2 linked regions of the Drosophila melanogaster genome follow. The protein of the gene in region 1 purifies or fractionates together with the protein of each later gene. This does not show direct contact. Each region holds a gene or a part of one and is shown on either strand. Other genes may lie near its edges.

Evidence for each region. Proteins that work in one complex are often made in the same cells at the same time.
Region 2: the proteins of Use1 (region 1) and koko purify together in Drosophila melanogaster (affinity purification with mass spectrometry, with the first as the bait; one large-scale study listed by BioGRID). This does not show direct contact.

The regions. Positions count from the first base shown.
Region 1 is NT_037436.4:9,133,233-9,139,065, forward strand, and holds Use1 (unconventional SNARE in the ER 1), read right to left. Parts: upstream 3,950-5,833; 5' UTR 3,872-3,949; coding exon 3,520-3,871; intron 3,426-3,519; coding exon 3,069-3,425; intron 2,685-3,068; exon of another isoform or gene 2,670-2,684; coding exon 2,626-2,669; 3' UTR 2,477-2,625; downstream 1-2,476. Other genes in the region: Dhpr (dihydropteridine reductase), read left to right, coding at 1,575-1,658, 1,755-2,378; nwk (nervous wreck), read left to right, coding at 5,445-5,465, 5,541-5,770. UniProt on the Drosophila melanogaster protein: SNARE that may be involved in targeting and fusion of Golgi-derived retrograde transport vesicles with the ER. Required for protein secretion.
Region 2 is NT_033777.3:18,398,890-18,406,726, forward strand, and holds koko (kokopelli), read left to right. Parts: upstream 1-4,136; 5' UTR 4,137-4,177; intron 4,178-4,333; exon of another isoform or gene 4,334-4,630; 5' UTR 4,631-4,650; coding exon 4,651-4,733; intron 4,734-4,799; coding exon 4,800-4,944; intron 4,945-5,004; coding exon 5,005-5,556; 3' UTR 5,557-5,837; downstream 5,838-7,837. Other genes in the region: Vti1b (vesicle transport through interaction with t-SNAREs 1b), read left to right, coding at 903-1,061, 1,122-1,331; Wdr37 (WD repeat domain 37), read right to left, coding at 1,938-2,685, 2,743-3,304, 3,425-3,578; CG7685 (uncharacterized protein), read left to right, coding at 6,154-6,270, 6,331-6,536, 6,600-6,918.

The DNA of each region.
Region 1 (5,833 bases):
ATTTTAAATGTATGAATGCTTTTTGACATTCATCTGTCCACTCGAATGGAACATTCTTTTTACATAATCTTGTTATGTGCCGCGAATAGTCGGCGAAATTTTTGATAAAACGTCTGTAGTAATTGCAAAATGCTACAAAACGTCTAGCGCTGTCCGCATCATGTGGAACTGGGTAGTTCTGAATGACATCATATTTTTTGTCATCCGGCAAAATTCCTTTGTCTGTGCATTTGTGTCCCAAAAATGTGACTTCATGCATGAAAAATGAACATTTTTCAGGATGTAACTTTAGGTTGTATTCCCTGCATTTACCAAAAACTTCAGTGAGGTTTTTAAGCATATGTTTTTCGGAACAACCTATGACTATTAAGTCATCCATATAAAGGAATGCTTGAGACGGTTCTATTCCGGAGAATGCTATAGTCATCATTCTTTGGAATGAATTAGGCGCTATTTTTAAGCCAAATGGCAATCGCGTGAAACGATATGAGCCATTGCTGGTTGAGAAAGATGTTATATCTCTCGAGCCTTCATCCAGTTCGATTTGATGAAAACCTGACATTAAATCAAGGCAGGAGAAATATTTTGCTCGACCAAGTTGGTCCAAAATATCATCTATTCTCGGTAGTGGAAATTTGTCAGCTAAAAGTTTCTTATTAATTTGGCGATAGTCTATTACTAATCTCCATTTCTTTTTATCAGAATTCGGGCTTGACTTTTTGGGTACTAATAGCAAAGGGCTATTGTACTGTGAAACTGATGGTTCAACTATTTTATCTTTTATTAATTTCTGAACTTGGGCTTGTATTTCTTCCACTTGACTATGAGGACTTCTATAATTTTTCGTGTATACTGGCTCATCATCTTTTAATCTCAACTGTTGTTTATACAAATTATTAACTGTTATAGGTTCTGATTCTAATGCAAATATATCTATATATTCGCTGCATATATTTTCTAATTGTGATTTAAACAATTCGGGGAAATTTTTCTTTAATTGAGATAAGACAGTTTTATTTCTGTGTTCACTATTTGCCTGAACTACATTGTAGTTCGAAAGTGGCTCATATTTTAGAGTGTCCATGACGTAACGCGACGACGACTGGTGGGACTGAGTGGAAAACACAGCTACGGCGCGTAACTCTGGTCTGGTGGAAATGCGGCGCACGAATTTCACGCATTTCCCTTTTCAAAAAAGAGCAGCGAGCAATGCGTGAGCGAGACGGGTAAAGTTGGCGGCGAACAGCTGTGGAATACCAAAAAAAAAAAATACCAAATAACGCCTTACTCACGACAGTGTGACCTTGCTGTGCGTTTTCTGGTCATCTTATTGATTTTCCACTTGTTGCTGCTGCTGTATCTTTTTGTAGCGAATAAAAAGCTATATCTGCACGCTGAAGCTTAAACTCGACTTGAAATTCATTCTCCCGATTATTACCGGTAGAACTGGTCTTGCGGTTAAAAACCCCAGCTGCGTTCAAAGCTCCCGCACGATTTTGACTCACCAAAATCGGTGTTCTCGTGTTTTTCTCGCATTTAGTTAAATTGCAACTTTAAAACTGGCAGCACGCATCATGTCCGCAGGTCGAGTGGTTATTTACGGTGGCAAAGGAGCCTTGGGTTCGGCCTGTGTCGATCACTTTAAAGCCAACAATTATGTGAGTTACCTTTCACTTAATTATTAAATACAATTGCCTCATTATCTATTGTTTTCCCTCGCGTCAACTACGACCTTCACCTGGATAATCCATCAGTGGGTTGGCAGCATCGATCTGACGGAGAACGAGAAGGCCGACGTTAGCATTGTGGTGCCACGCGATGCTAGTTGGGTGGAACAGGAGGAAACGGTGGTGTCCAAAGTCGGGGAATCCCTTGCCGGCGAGAAACTGGATGCCGTCATCTGCGTGGCTGGCGGCTGGGCAGGTGGTAATGCCAAGAAGGATCTGGCCAAGAATGCCGATCTCATGTGGAAGCAGAGCGTGTTGACCTCCGCCATTTCGGCAGCTGTGGCTGCTCAGCATCTAAAGGCCGGAGGCTTGCTGGCTCTCACTGGAGCTAAGCCCGCTTTGGAGGGCACACCCGGTATGATCGGCTATGGAATGGCCAAGGCAGCTGTCCACCAGCTGACCCGCTCGCTGGGCGCTGAGAAATCCGGTCTGCCAGCTGGTTCCCTGGCTGTGTCCATACTTCCCGTAACTCTAGATACACCCATGAACCGTAAATGGATGCCGGATGCAGATTTTGGAACCTGGACACCGCTCACCGAGGTGGCCGGACTTTTCCTTAAGTGGACCCAAGATCAGGAGAGGCCCAAAACTGGATCCCTGTTGCAGCTGATCACCACAAACGGCATTACGCAGCTTATCGCTGCCGAATAGGCTAAGAGATACAGATACGAATCCAAATGACACTTAATGATGAAACAAAAATGCTCAAAAACCATAATCTAAACGCTTTCGCTTGTACATAAACTATTCATAAATAAATCGCTGGGCGGCTTTCGATCGTTTAATGTGGTTCTGCTTACACGATTTGGGTGGATAACCTCTTGAACTCGGGAGCTTAACGAGCGTTTAAAGCTTGCTTAGAGTACAATCTTTAGTTTGCTTAGTTTGGAAATTGTTTCTACGACTTCTTCTTCTTCATAATCTTCATGAATAAAACCATACCTGTAAATTGAAAGGGTAATAAACTCATTAGTATAATTAAGCAGCAACAATCGAACTGCAATAAATCGAACCAATTAAGAAATGTAATTTCAAACTGAGTCACGGCAAACTTGTTTATTTGGCTTAAGTGAAGTGACTCGCAGTGTTTTCGTATTCAGTTTAAATACAATAATAATAGCAATGGAATCTAATATCTATTTATCTGTTTTCGTTCTTATAATGAATATTTATAATATTGTGATTAACATATTCAGGAAACTTGGTTTATAAACGTGTTTAAATGTGTGTTGTTGAGTTGGATAACTTAAGGTATATTTGTTAAGTAAATGAATTGGGATTTTCCAAGAGGGGTTCTTTTTTGCAGCTTGAACAAAACTTCCACAAAATACAATGACTCACCTATAAAAGTGGCAATTACGAAGGCAATCATCAGCCACAGCCAGCACTTGTAGGCTTTTTTCGAATGTTGCTCCAGTTTCTCAGCCTCTTTTCCTAGCGAATTGATATTGCGATCCGCCATTCCGGCGGAACGCGACACAACCTCCGTGTCTCTTCGGATAATCCTGTTGGCGGTCTCCGTCTGTTCCTTTAAGTTCCGAGTCAGCGAGAGCATGTGCTCGGTGATCTTCTCCTGGGCATTCGTATAATACTTGGCAGCCTGGTTCATGTTTTCACCAGAAGTTTCCTGAACGTTTGCGCTTCCAGAACTGGAGGAGGATTCATCTGCTCCTCGACGTCTTCGCAGGGCATCGGAATCTAAAATAAATGTTTTTTAAGTTATGAACTATTACATTTTTGAATTTAAGAAATTTTAAAATATGTACAAAACTGTTTGTTAATTCTTTATTACCCTGGAGCAGTTCCTTTCGCAGTTCGTTGTGATATTTGCTGTTTTGCAGCTGCCTTATTTCTTTCAGTGCATTTTCCCCAGTTTCGCTGACGGCTGAGGATTGTGAAGGAGTCTTTGTTGTGGAACCGGGAACGTCTGCATATCCGGTGGATATTTTAAGGGCCTGTAGGCGCTCCAAGTAGCCCGGGATACGTTTGACACTCTGCGGATCGCCCATCGCCTCCAGCTCGGCAAGCATTGTGTCCAGGGACTTAATGAACTTCTGCAGCCTCCAGAAGTTCTGTTCGCTTTTGGCCAGTTCCTCGCAGTTGGCCAGCAGGGTGCGAATATTTACATTTAGCTTCGTGGCCATTTTCAAGTTGAAAACATGAAAACAACAAAGTACAAATTCCTAAATTAAAATACCAGGTCGAAACCTATTTGTTGTCAGCAGCTGGTCCTATTAGCGATAGAAACTTATCGATAGGTTGTCGTGAGTAGTGATGAAAAATTATTGAGGATGTGTATGTAAAATGTAAGAATGTAAAAATGTATAAAGTAAAAAAAACATAACAAACAAATAATCTTCTAATCCTGTTAAAATTTAATTTTTAAAAATTTTTGAAAAAAAACATCAAGTTCCCAATATGCCATATTTATAAGCTTATGTCTACTTTCTCAAGATAACGTAATGCATTTATATTATTGCATGCATACTTCTGGGCGCGACTCGAAAATCTTATCAAACCTCTTGGCCAATATCTGAAGTTATCAATTAAACCGTTTTTGATAGCCACAGCATATGAGTAGTTTCACGCAAACGCACATTTTTGTTTTAGCTGTTGTCGTACGCCAGGTGTCAAGATCAAATGGCATACCATTCAAAGGTTGAATTTTTATAGTAGTTTTTTTTTCTTCATTTTCCTTAAGTGCCGTTACACGCAAGTGAGGTGTTATCAAACAGCTGACGGGGCAAAAACAATAAAACTCACCCTCTTTGTTAACGGTACTAGAGGCCATGAATGAAACACGACTTCGTTCTCTCTCGACTTTCTCTCACCGCTCTCTTTGGCGGTCTCTTCTTGCGCAGCAGCACCAGCAGTTAACGGTGCATGTTGAAAAGTTCTCACACAAACGTCGTGAAAATCGAAATCGATAAGTAAGCAACGGATTTTAGCTGCCCAGAAAAAGACCACAAATTTCAGTGAAAACCCAGCGATAAGAATCCCAAAAAGTACTAATCCAGCTGAAAAACAACCATCTTAACCGGCCATGTCCAAAAAAAGTGTTAGCCAAGTGTTTTGAATAACGTAGTTGGTGTAAATGCTTAAAAAAAATAAGCTAGTCCGGGGCCAGAGAAATCGATACGATACCCCCAAAAAAAGGGGGGCTGCTGCGTGGGCTGCCCGAGTGAAAATTTCCAGCTAAAAATAGTACTAGATTTGAGCTTGAAGAAAACCCTTGATTTCCTTTGCGTTTCGATGTCAGTTATCATTGCATTTCAGTTACATAAGTTTTGAGACCCGTTGCTGCGTAGCGAACCTATTAACGGCTTAAGGACCACACAACCACCCACATGTACCACCAACACCACCCATTTACACAGCCAAAAATAATCGGAAAATATATATATATAATAAATATCAGTAGGGCTACATTTTATCTAATCTTTAATTTGATAATGTTAGATTCTTTGATATAAGTCATGGCGTTAAAAATAAATCTCCCCTTTTAAGCCACTGAAATATAAATTTTTTTATATTAAAAAAATAAGATGGGATCTTAAATATCGTATCGTATTTTAATACCCGTATATCATATCCTCTCATAAAGCAATCATACTATTTACAGTTGCTAGAGGTAATGTAACACCATTAAGTCGGAGCTAAAATAGAAAAAAAAAGCCAATTGTAGAGTGACCCGATTGTCGTAGAAAAAGCCCCATGATGCAGCCGCCGCCGCGTAAGGTAAATCATAAATAAATCGAATTGATAAAGATAGTTCCACAATAATCATTCATCGTATACCTCGTAATCCTGCAGGGAAACTATGTGAAATTCCTCAAGAATTTGCACACGGAGCAGGTGGCCAAGCTGCAGCTGAAGAATCAGCATGAATGCGACCTCCTGGAGGACATCCGGCAGTTCACCATCAAGCGTTCCGCTGTCGAGAAGTCATACAGTGAGTCGCTGCTGAAGATCTCATCGCAGTATCTCAACAAGAAGATACCCAATATACCAGATATTAAGATGGAGGGCATGGAGGAACGCTGGTGGGTATTGCTTTCCAGCTAACTAGTAACGTTCTTTCGAGAACCTTCAGTCAATTTGAATTA
Region 2 (7,837 bases), on another chromosome or scaffold:
ATATGGGATATATACGGGTGGATAACCCGTGGCACAGCTTTTACACCTCGAACCCGCCGGGTTTTTCCAGTTGCTTCGAGTTTTTTCGAGTTTTTCGCTTACCTTCACAGCTCCGAAAACGCTTTTTATGTCAAAGACACACCAGATTCGATTCCCCGCGAGTGCGAGCGATAAATTTAGAACTTGTTTGTTGCCGAGCGAGAGTATCTTTATTCGAATCTGAATCTGAATGGAGCGCAGCACACGTCTGCTCACCGCCAGCGATCGACTGCGTTTAAATTTGGCACTCGCTGCCGCGACTTCGGTTCGAAAATCTCGCGATCGCCTCGAAATGCCTCGCACTCTCTGTTACTCAGCACACACACCCTGTGAATTCAGGCGGCTCTCTCGGCGCGGGCATGCCAACTATGTATGATCGGTGACCGTTATCGCAAATCAGAAATCGACAAATACCCGTACTAAAGTCAAAATCCTCGAGTGCTACATGTGTCTACCAAAAAAATGGTCAGTTTCCAAAAACCTAATCACTCTTAGGATCACCCAATTAATCACCATTAATATGTGATATTTTTGCAGTAACTAGATGTGCTTGTTGATAGTGAGGAAGCCAATCTCAAAAAAAAACCAATTGAACTAACACTTCTTACAATTTAAACTTTTAATTAGAATTTAGAATATAAAATAATATTAAGCTAATTTGGTAACAGTTTCATTTTAAATTTCAACTGTTTTAAGTGCTGTAAAGTGCATAAAGTGTTAACAGGTGGCTCCACGCACAACGCGTTAGTACCTTACCAAATAGCGTTTTCACTGCACCGCTCACCACGGCCACACTCTGCCTTTGTTTTGTTTTGATATTCCCACTGCATCGCATTTAATTTATTAAAAGCTGTTACCAAATTATGTCCTACGCCGGCTATAGCCAGCTGCCCAGCGGCAGCGACCAGGAGCGCAGGCAGGCGCAGCTCGCGGCCAGCACCTACGACGTGCTACAGCGGACGACGGACAGTATCCAGCGATCCAACCAGATTGCCATCGAAACGGAGAACATGGGGGCGGAGGTAATTACCCAGATAGTAGCCATTAACAGGGCTAACTAATGCTCGCTTACGCATCAACAGGTACTCGGCGAACTGGGCGAGCAGAGGGAGTCGCTGCTACGCACCACGCGCCGCCTGGAGGACGCCGATCAGGATCTGTCCAAATCGAGGGTCATCATTCGGAAGTTGAGCAGGGAGGTGCTCTACAACAAGATCATCCTAATCCTGATTATCATTCTGGAGGTGGGCATACTCGTCGGCTTGCTGGTGCTGAAGTTCGCTCACCTGTGAGCCAATGCCATTCTATTCCAAAGTCGTAACCACCAAACAGGCGATGGACTATATATACCTATTAATCGTTACGAATTCTTTGTCCTAGTTAATAAGCTTATAAATGTATATACTCCACTAAAATGCACTTCCAATTCAAAAAGGTCAGTTTTAGGATATACCCAGCGATGAATCGGGTGGTTGATTATGTTTATTCATGTTGGCTAAAGCGTTAATGCCTTAGACGTCTATAATATGTATTATGGTAGTAAAACACAGATAAAATCGGGTCTGGACATCGGAAGCTCTGCACTCCGAAGAGTTTAGCCCAGTCCCAACGCATATACATACGTATGCTATAACAATGATAATATGTAGTTCGTGCAGCACGCTATGCCACGACTATTTGGCAAAAAGCAACGTTAATTACATTCAGTGGGCGACAACGAGATAGTAGAACATCCTGAACAATGTCTGCATAATACTTGATCTATGATAAACGGTTACATATATGTAAGTATGTGGGCATCGCTTTGGGGATGCTTCTTTGTTCGAGAGATGTTTGGGATTTCGCAGAGCTGCGCCTCCTCATTCCTTTGGTGCAGCAGCTCTCCGCTTCAGTTGCCTTCAATTGTCCTTCGGAAGAACGATGGACCAGCCGAAAACGCGGCGATCGAAGCCGCAGGAGAAGAGATCGCAGTCCAGCAGCGGCTCCTCCGCCCACGCTACAGACGACACCATCCGTCGGTGGCCCTGCCGACTGGTCCGTGGCAATCGGGCGACTCTCTGCCCGTTCAAATCGAACAGTCGGATCTGTCGATTGTCATGCGGTATGGCGATAATTCCACCAGTGGAGACCGCCAAACGATTGACCGAGGAATCCGTTCGAATGGTGGCCAAGGCGGATCGCATGTTGCGCAGCTCCCAGACCTTGATTGTACGATCATCTGATCCGGACACCACCTTGTCGTCGCGTGCGAACACACTGGACGTAACCGTTTCCGTGTGCCCTTGGAAGACGGAGACCGCTGGGATTGCCTCTCGGAAGTCCCATAGACGGAACGTAGTGTCCCTGGAAGCGGTGACCACCAGGCGCTGGGTGGGATGTGCCGACACGTGGGTGAGCTCGTGGTCGTGCCCAGTGAGCGGCTGCAGTGGCAGGCCAGTCTCCACGTCCCACAGGATGGCAGTCCGATCCCAGCTGCCCGTGATGATTTGATCCATCGAAGAGAGCCAATCGGCGGCCACCACGACTGAAAGATGACCGCCGGGGCCTGTGAACTCGCAGAGCGGAGTGCGTAAGGTGTCCACACGATCGCGATCTTCCACCTGCTCATCACTGTCGTCCAGTTCCTCCTCTGAAGAATGGCCCTTCCTGAAAATCATGCAACGATTATTGAACTACTATAAAATATATTGCAAAGTTACTCACTTGGGCACTTCCCAGTTGACGGCCGCCTGCCAGATGTGGGCAGTACCATCCCCGCTGCCGGTGAGCACAAGATCTCGCTGCTGATGGAACTTGATGGAGTTTACGGAGCCGGCGTGCCCTTGGTACTGCAAAAGGCACCTGGCGCTCTCCACGCCCCAGATGCAGGCCGTATGATCGGCGGAGGCGGTGCCAATGATGGGTTGTCCCGCCTTGGCGGCAACCTGCCAGATGCCATCCTTGTGGCCGCCGAATTCTCGGACCACCGTGCTGACCACTGTGGGCGCCTTAAAGCTGGACACAATGCGGCTGGTTTGGGCCTTGATCTTGTTGCTGGCCTTGGCTTTGCTGCCGCCGGTAGCGCTGCTTAGTTTGGCCTTCAAGCTCTTGTGTGTACTGGATGCTGCAGCCAGGAAGCTGCCCGCCACCTCATCCGTCTGGGTTGCAGGCGTGGCCAAAGCTGCGGATGAGGCCTGAGTGCTCATTGAACCTCCTGCTGCGGATCTGGCATCGGGTGGAATCAATGACTCCTTGGTGGTGGTGGCTATGTCTAGCTTCTCCTGCACTATAACAGAGAATAGGCTTTAATCATGCGTGCACTATACAAAATTTGACATATGTAAGCAATAAATATTAAAGTTTATGAACGAGACCTTAAGGAGTTGTGGATTATATAGCTACTTACGGGCCTGGTTCTCCAGATACAGCTGCTCGAACTCCCGCTCGATCTGGGCGAAGAGGACGTGCAGGCGTGCACGGAATGGTGCATCTTCCGGTACGGCGGCCACGTCCTCCGTCAAACTGGTGAGGCGCACAGCCCGTGTCTTGCTAGCCTTCATGCTTTTCTTTTCGCCTCTTTGTTGTGTATCTCGCAAGTGATTTTCTGAGCCGAGCTGGTCGGCGATATCCGTTTCCTGGTGGGCAGAGCGCCCGGGGGAATCCAATTAGTGTTCAGGGGTTGCAGACTCGCGCTCTATTGATCCATCTTCCGCTGCTGGCGATGCATTTGCCTCTTTGGCTGACTGGGGAACTGCTGTTGCACTTGGTTTTCGCAATGATAATATACTTATTGCAGGTGTTTTTGTGCGCGGGGGGAGCGGGCGGAACAGCTGGTGTGTGTATCGAGTGTTATCGATGTGCGATTATCGCACAGTCGGACTGTGGCACACTGAGAGCAAATTGAACAAATTAAAATAAAATAATTTTGAAATTGCAGTTTACATATTAAATATATTTATATCATAAAAACGAAAAATCCTGTAAAAATTAACTGAAAATTCATTATATGTTATGAATTAGTTTAGAAAAATTTTCAACAAAAACACATCTATAAAAATGTACAATTAACAAAGTTTTTTTTTTAGTGCACTTTGGTTTGAGTACTAGTGTTGAGAAACAATTAGTTAATTTTGCTGACTTTCAAATCTGACACGTGAAGGTAAATAAATTCAAATAGAAATGTAACTATGGATCAGCGCTTTCCTGTAATTATTTATTAGGGTTGATTATCTTGTATAACCCTTTGAAACGGAAGCATTATCCTTAATCAACACTGTGTACTTGAACAGCTGTTTGGCCCGTAGTTGTAGGTACTATTTTTGAAAACACCATTGGGAGTTCCCACAAGACAAACAAATCCGTGCACCGTTGTATTGGATTCCAATCGAACAGCTGACATACCTTCGGGCCCGTTAGTTTTCCCGATCGCCCTGCATATGATACCATATCTCCCATTACAGCGCTGCAGCCCAATCAAACCGGTTTGTCGCCTTTCGACTTTTCGGTGGTCTCAGTTCACATCCATTTCCCCAACCAGTCCAATTGCTTTTATCTTGCTCCTCGAGTGTTAACGAAATTGCTTAAATCCACCCACATTCATCCTTTCATTCAGTTCGGCCTGGGAGTAGCAGCATGAAAAACGTTTTGGATGTCATGTCGATGCAGCAGCACGTGGAGTTGAACAAGGCGCAGACCATGAAGCCCATCGACTATCGGTAAGTTGAATGATCCAATCTAAAGATACCACCAATATATACATATCTGTGCCATCTGTGCCGCAGCAAAATGAACAAACCCGGCGTGGTGCCGATGTACATCTTTGAGTGCGCTGCCAAGTTGAAAATGAAACCGCTGACGGCGGCCTGTGCGGCCATAGTGTTCCATCGCTTCTTCCGCGAGGTCAAGGCCAGCGACTACGATGAGTTCGTGAGTAATATATGCCCCCAAAACGACCCCATCTCATGAGAAACTTTCTGGAATCCACAGCTCATTGCCGCGGGCTCGCTGTACTTGGCTGGCAAAATTAAGGAAGACGAAAGTGTCAAGATACGCGATGTCATCAACGTGGCATACTGCACCCTTAACCGGGGCAATGATCCAGTCGACCTGAACGATGAGTACTGGTCGATGCGGGATGCCATTGTCCAGGCTGAGCTGCTCATCACGCGCACCCTGTGCTTCGATCTCAACATAGATCTGGCCCACAAGTACTTACTCCACTACATGAAGACCCTACAAGACTGGGTGGGCACTGAGGTGTGGAACTCGGTGCCCATTGCCAAGGCAGCCGCCTCGTATCTGCAAGACTTTCACCACAGCGCCAATATCCTCAAGTACAAGCCCACCCATGTGGCCATTGGGTGCCTGTCGCTGGCCCTCCAGACCTACGGCATCCAGGTGCCGCTAACCGACGAGTCCGACGAATCCGCCATGTGGTACAAGCCCTTGGTCAAGGACTTCACCCGAGAGAACCAGTGGGAGATCATCGAGAACGTGATCGAGGTCTACAAGAACGAGGGCTTCCTGAATGCCACCTAATCGCTGAGAGAGACTGCCAAAACCATTCCTTCTGCCATCTGAACTTATTTATTTTCCCCTCGCCACCTCATAAACCAATCTCAGATACTACTAGACGTACATATGCTCAAATGTCCAATGCATTTACATCATGCCCTTGCCAAAACAAATAAATTGACCGGTAATGAAATGCTTATGTGATCGACGGGCGAAAGTACATTTACCTATCAGCGAAGACGATAGATCTAAAGTTTACAACTTATTTATACACTGATTCAATAAACAATTGTTCTGTGAAAAATGATATTGTTAATGGGTCTTTGGAGTTGTGAAATGCTTTAAGATTCTGAGGAAAAGCAAAAAGGTGTTTGGCGCTTTTATTTCAATCAAATTCATTATACTTTTAAGCTGTTAAAAGTTTTACAAAAAAATATTACACTTTATCAAACAAATTTAAATAAATCGCTCTGTATTTGATTAAATTCCGGGATGGGTGGCAACCCTTAGCCCCAGCCCAGCAGTGTTGACTAACGCAGGCATGTACAAAAACAATGCTAGTTCGTAAACAAAACATATTTTTTATACATTACTTGGCCAGAGCGAAAAAACAAGGACAATATGCGTAAGACGTGGGTGAAGCGAGAGAATATATACTTCAAGCCCTTCTACAAGCAGAAGTCGAAGATGTTCCTGCTGCTGATCTTCCTGGTCGGAATTTCGTTCATCGCGTATCAGGTGAGAGTCTCGCAAGGATTTTCCTGTGCACGGTGTTTAATGTGTAAACAATAACGATAGGCCTTCTCGCTGAACCAGCTGCCCGGAGTGCCTGCTCCGTGGAATCTGCAGCAGATCAAGCGCAAGCACCAGCAGATGATGCAGTCCCTGGGCAGCAAACAGCGCGACGTGGACGATTTCGATGGCGGAGGCGCCGATGCAGTTGCTCCGGCAGGCGGGGAAACCTCACCTGTTGCGGGTCACGAGGATCCCATCAAGATTGTCAGGTGTGTAGTAGATGCATTGTTGCTGGCTTGGGAAAATTCCTCATCCTCGTCTTTATCCTTTAGGGGCACACGGCTCTTCGACTACGACGCCTACAAGCCCAACTTCGAGGGCAAGTTCCGGTGTCTGGACGGCTCCAAAGAGATCCCGTTCGACCACCTGAACGACAACTACTGCGACTGTGAGGAGGACGGCAGCGACGAGCCCAGCACGAATGCCTGCGCCAAGGGGCGATTCTACTGTCGCTACCAGAAGCGTCACATCACGGGCCGGGGCCTGGATATCTACGTGGCCAGCAGCCGCATTAATGACCACGTGTGCGACTGCTGCGACGGCAGCGATGAGTGGAGCACGGCGACCAAGTGTCCCAACGACTGTGCGTAGTCGCAGGCCGACGGGACCCCGTTCCCACTCCCATTCCTCTTCCATCTCCTCCACCTGTGCACCTAGGACACCAATCTCAAGGATGAAGATGTCGGGCGGCGCATCACAAGCGATATTTTTTGTACGAGTACAATAGAATTGTAATTTATTTTAAAATAAGTAGATTGAATAAAAGAAACGAATTCCAAGAAACACAATGTGGCCTGTTCCAGTTTTCACATTCAAAGAATCTGATGGATTTAATGTGTACAATTTGTTTAAAACTATGTTTAATTTGGTGCCAGAGGAGCAGCTGCAAGATTAGATCTTTGTGGACATGTGAAAAAAAGAAGCTGCCATTTTATCCATATATGCTTATTCATTTTATTACCAGACTCACAAAAATCAGTAGAATTTACATTGGGAATTCCTTTTTTGTTTTGTTTTCTTTTTTTTGCTCGACTTTCTCTGCGCGATTTTTGGTTTCGAATTCGCAGCGTTTTCATTTATAATGTTCAATTTACATCTACGACCGTCTGTAATTTTAGTTAATATGGTTCTTCTTGCCTAAAAATGTTTTGTGCAGTTTAATCCGTAAAATGTACATCGACAAACTCTAAAGCAATTTTGAACTGCAAATTCTACAAGGTACGAAATTTTGTGTGTAATTAATTTTTCCCTTATATGCACAGTACGTCTCACTGGATTTTCTCTTGGTTTGCTTTCTTGGCTGGCTTTCTTGTCTTGTTTTGGATGATAAGCGGAAGCGGTAATGATCTCCACATCGATATACATAATTAGTTTAAGGAACGCGCGCCATCGCATTTACAATTACTTCTCGGATCTGAATTGGCAAAATTCACTTTATTCACTTGCATTTGCATTGAGTACTTCTTCTTTGACTTGCCCAGCACAATCAGAGAAAACTACGTCGTCTATG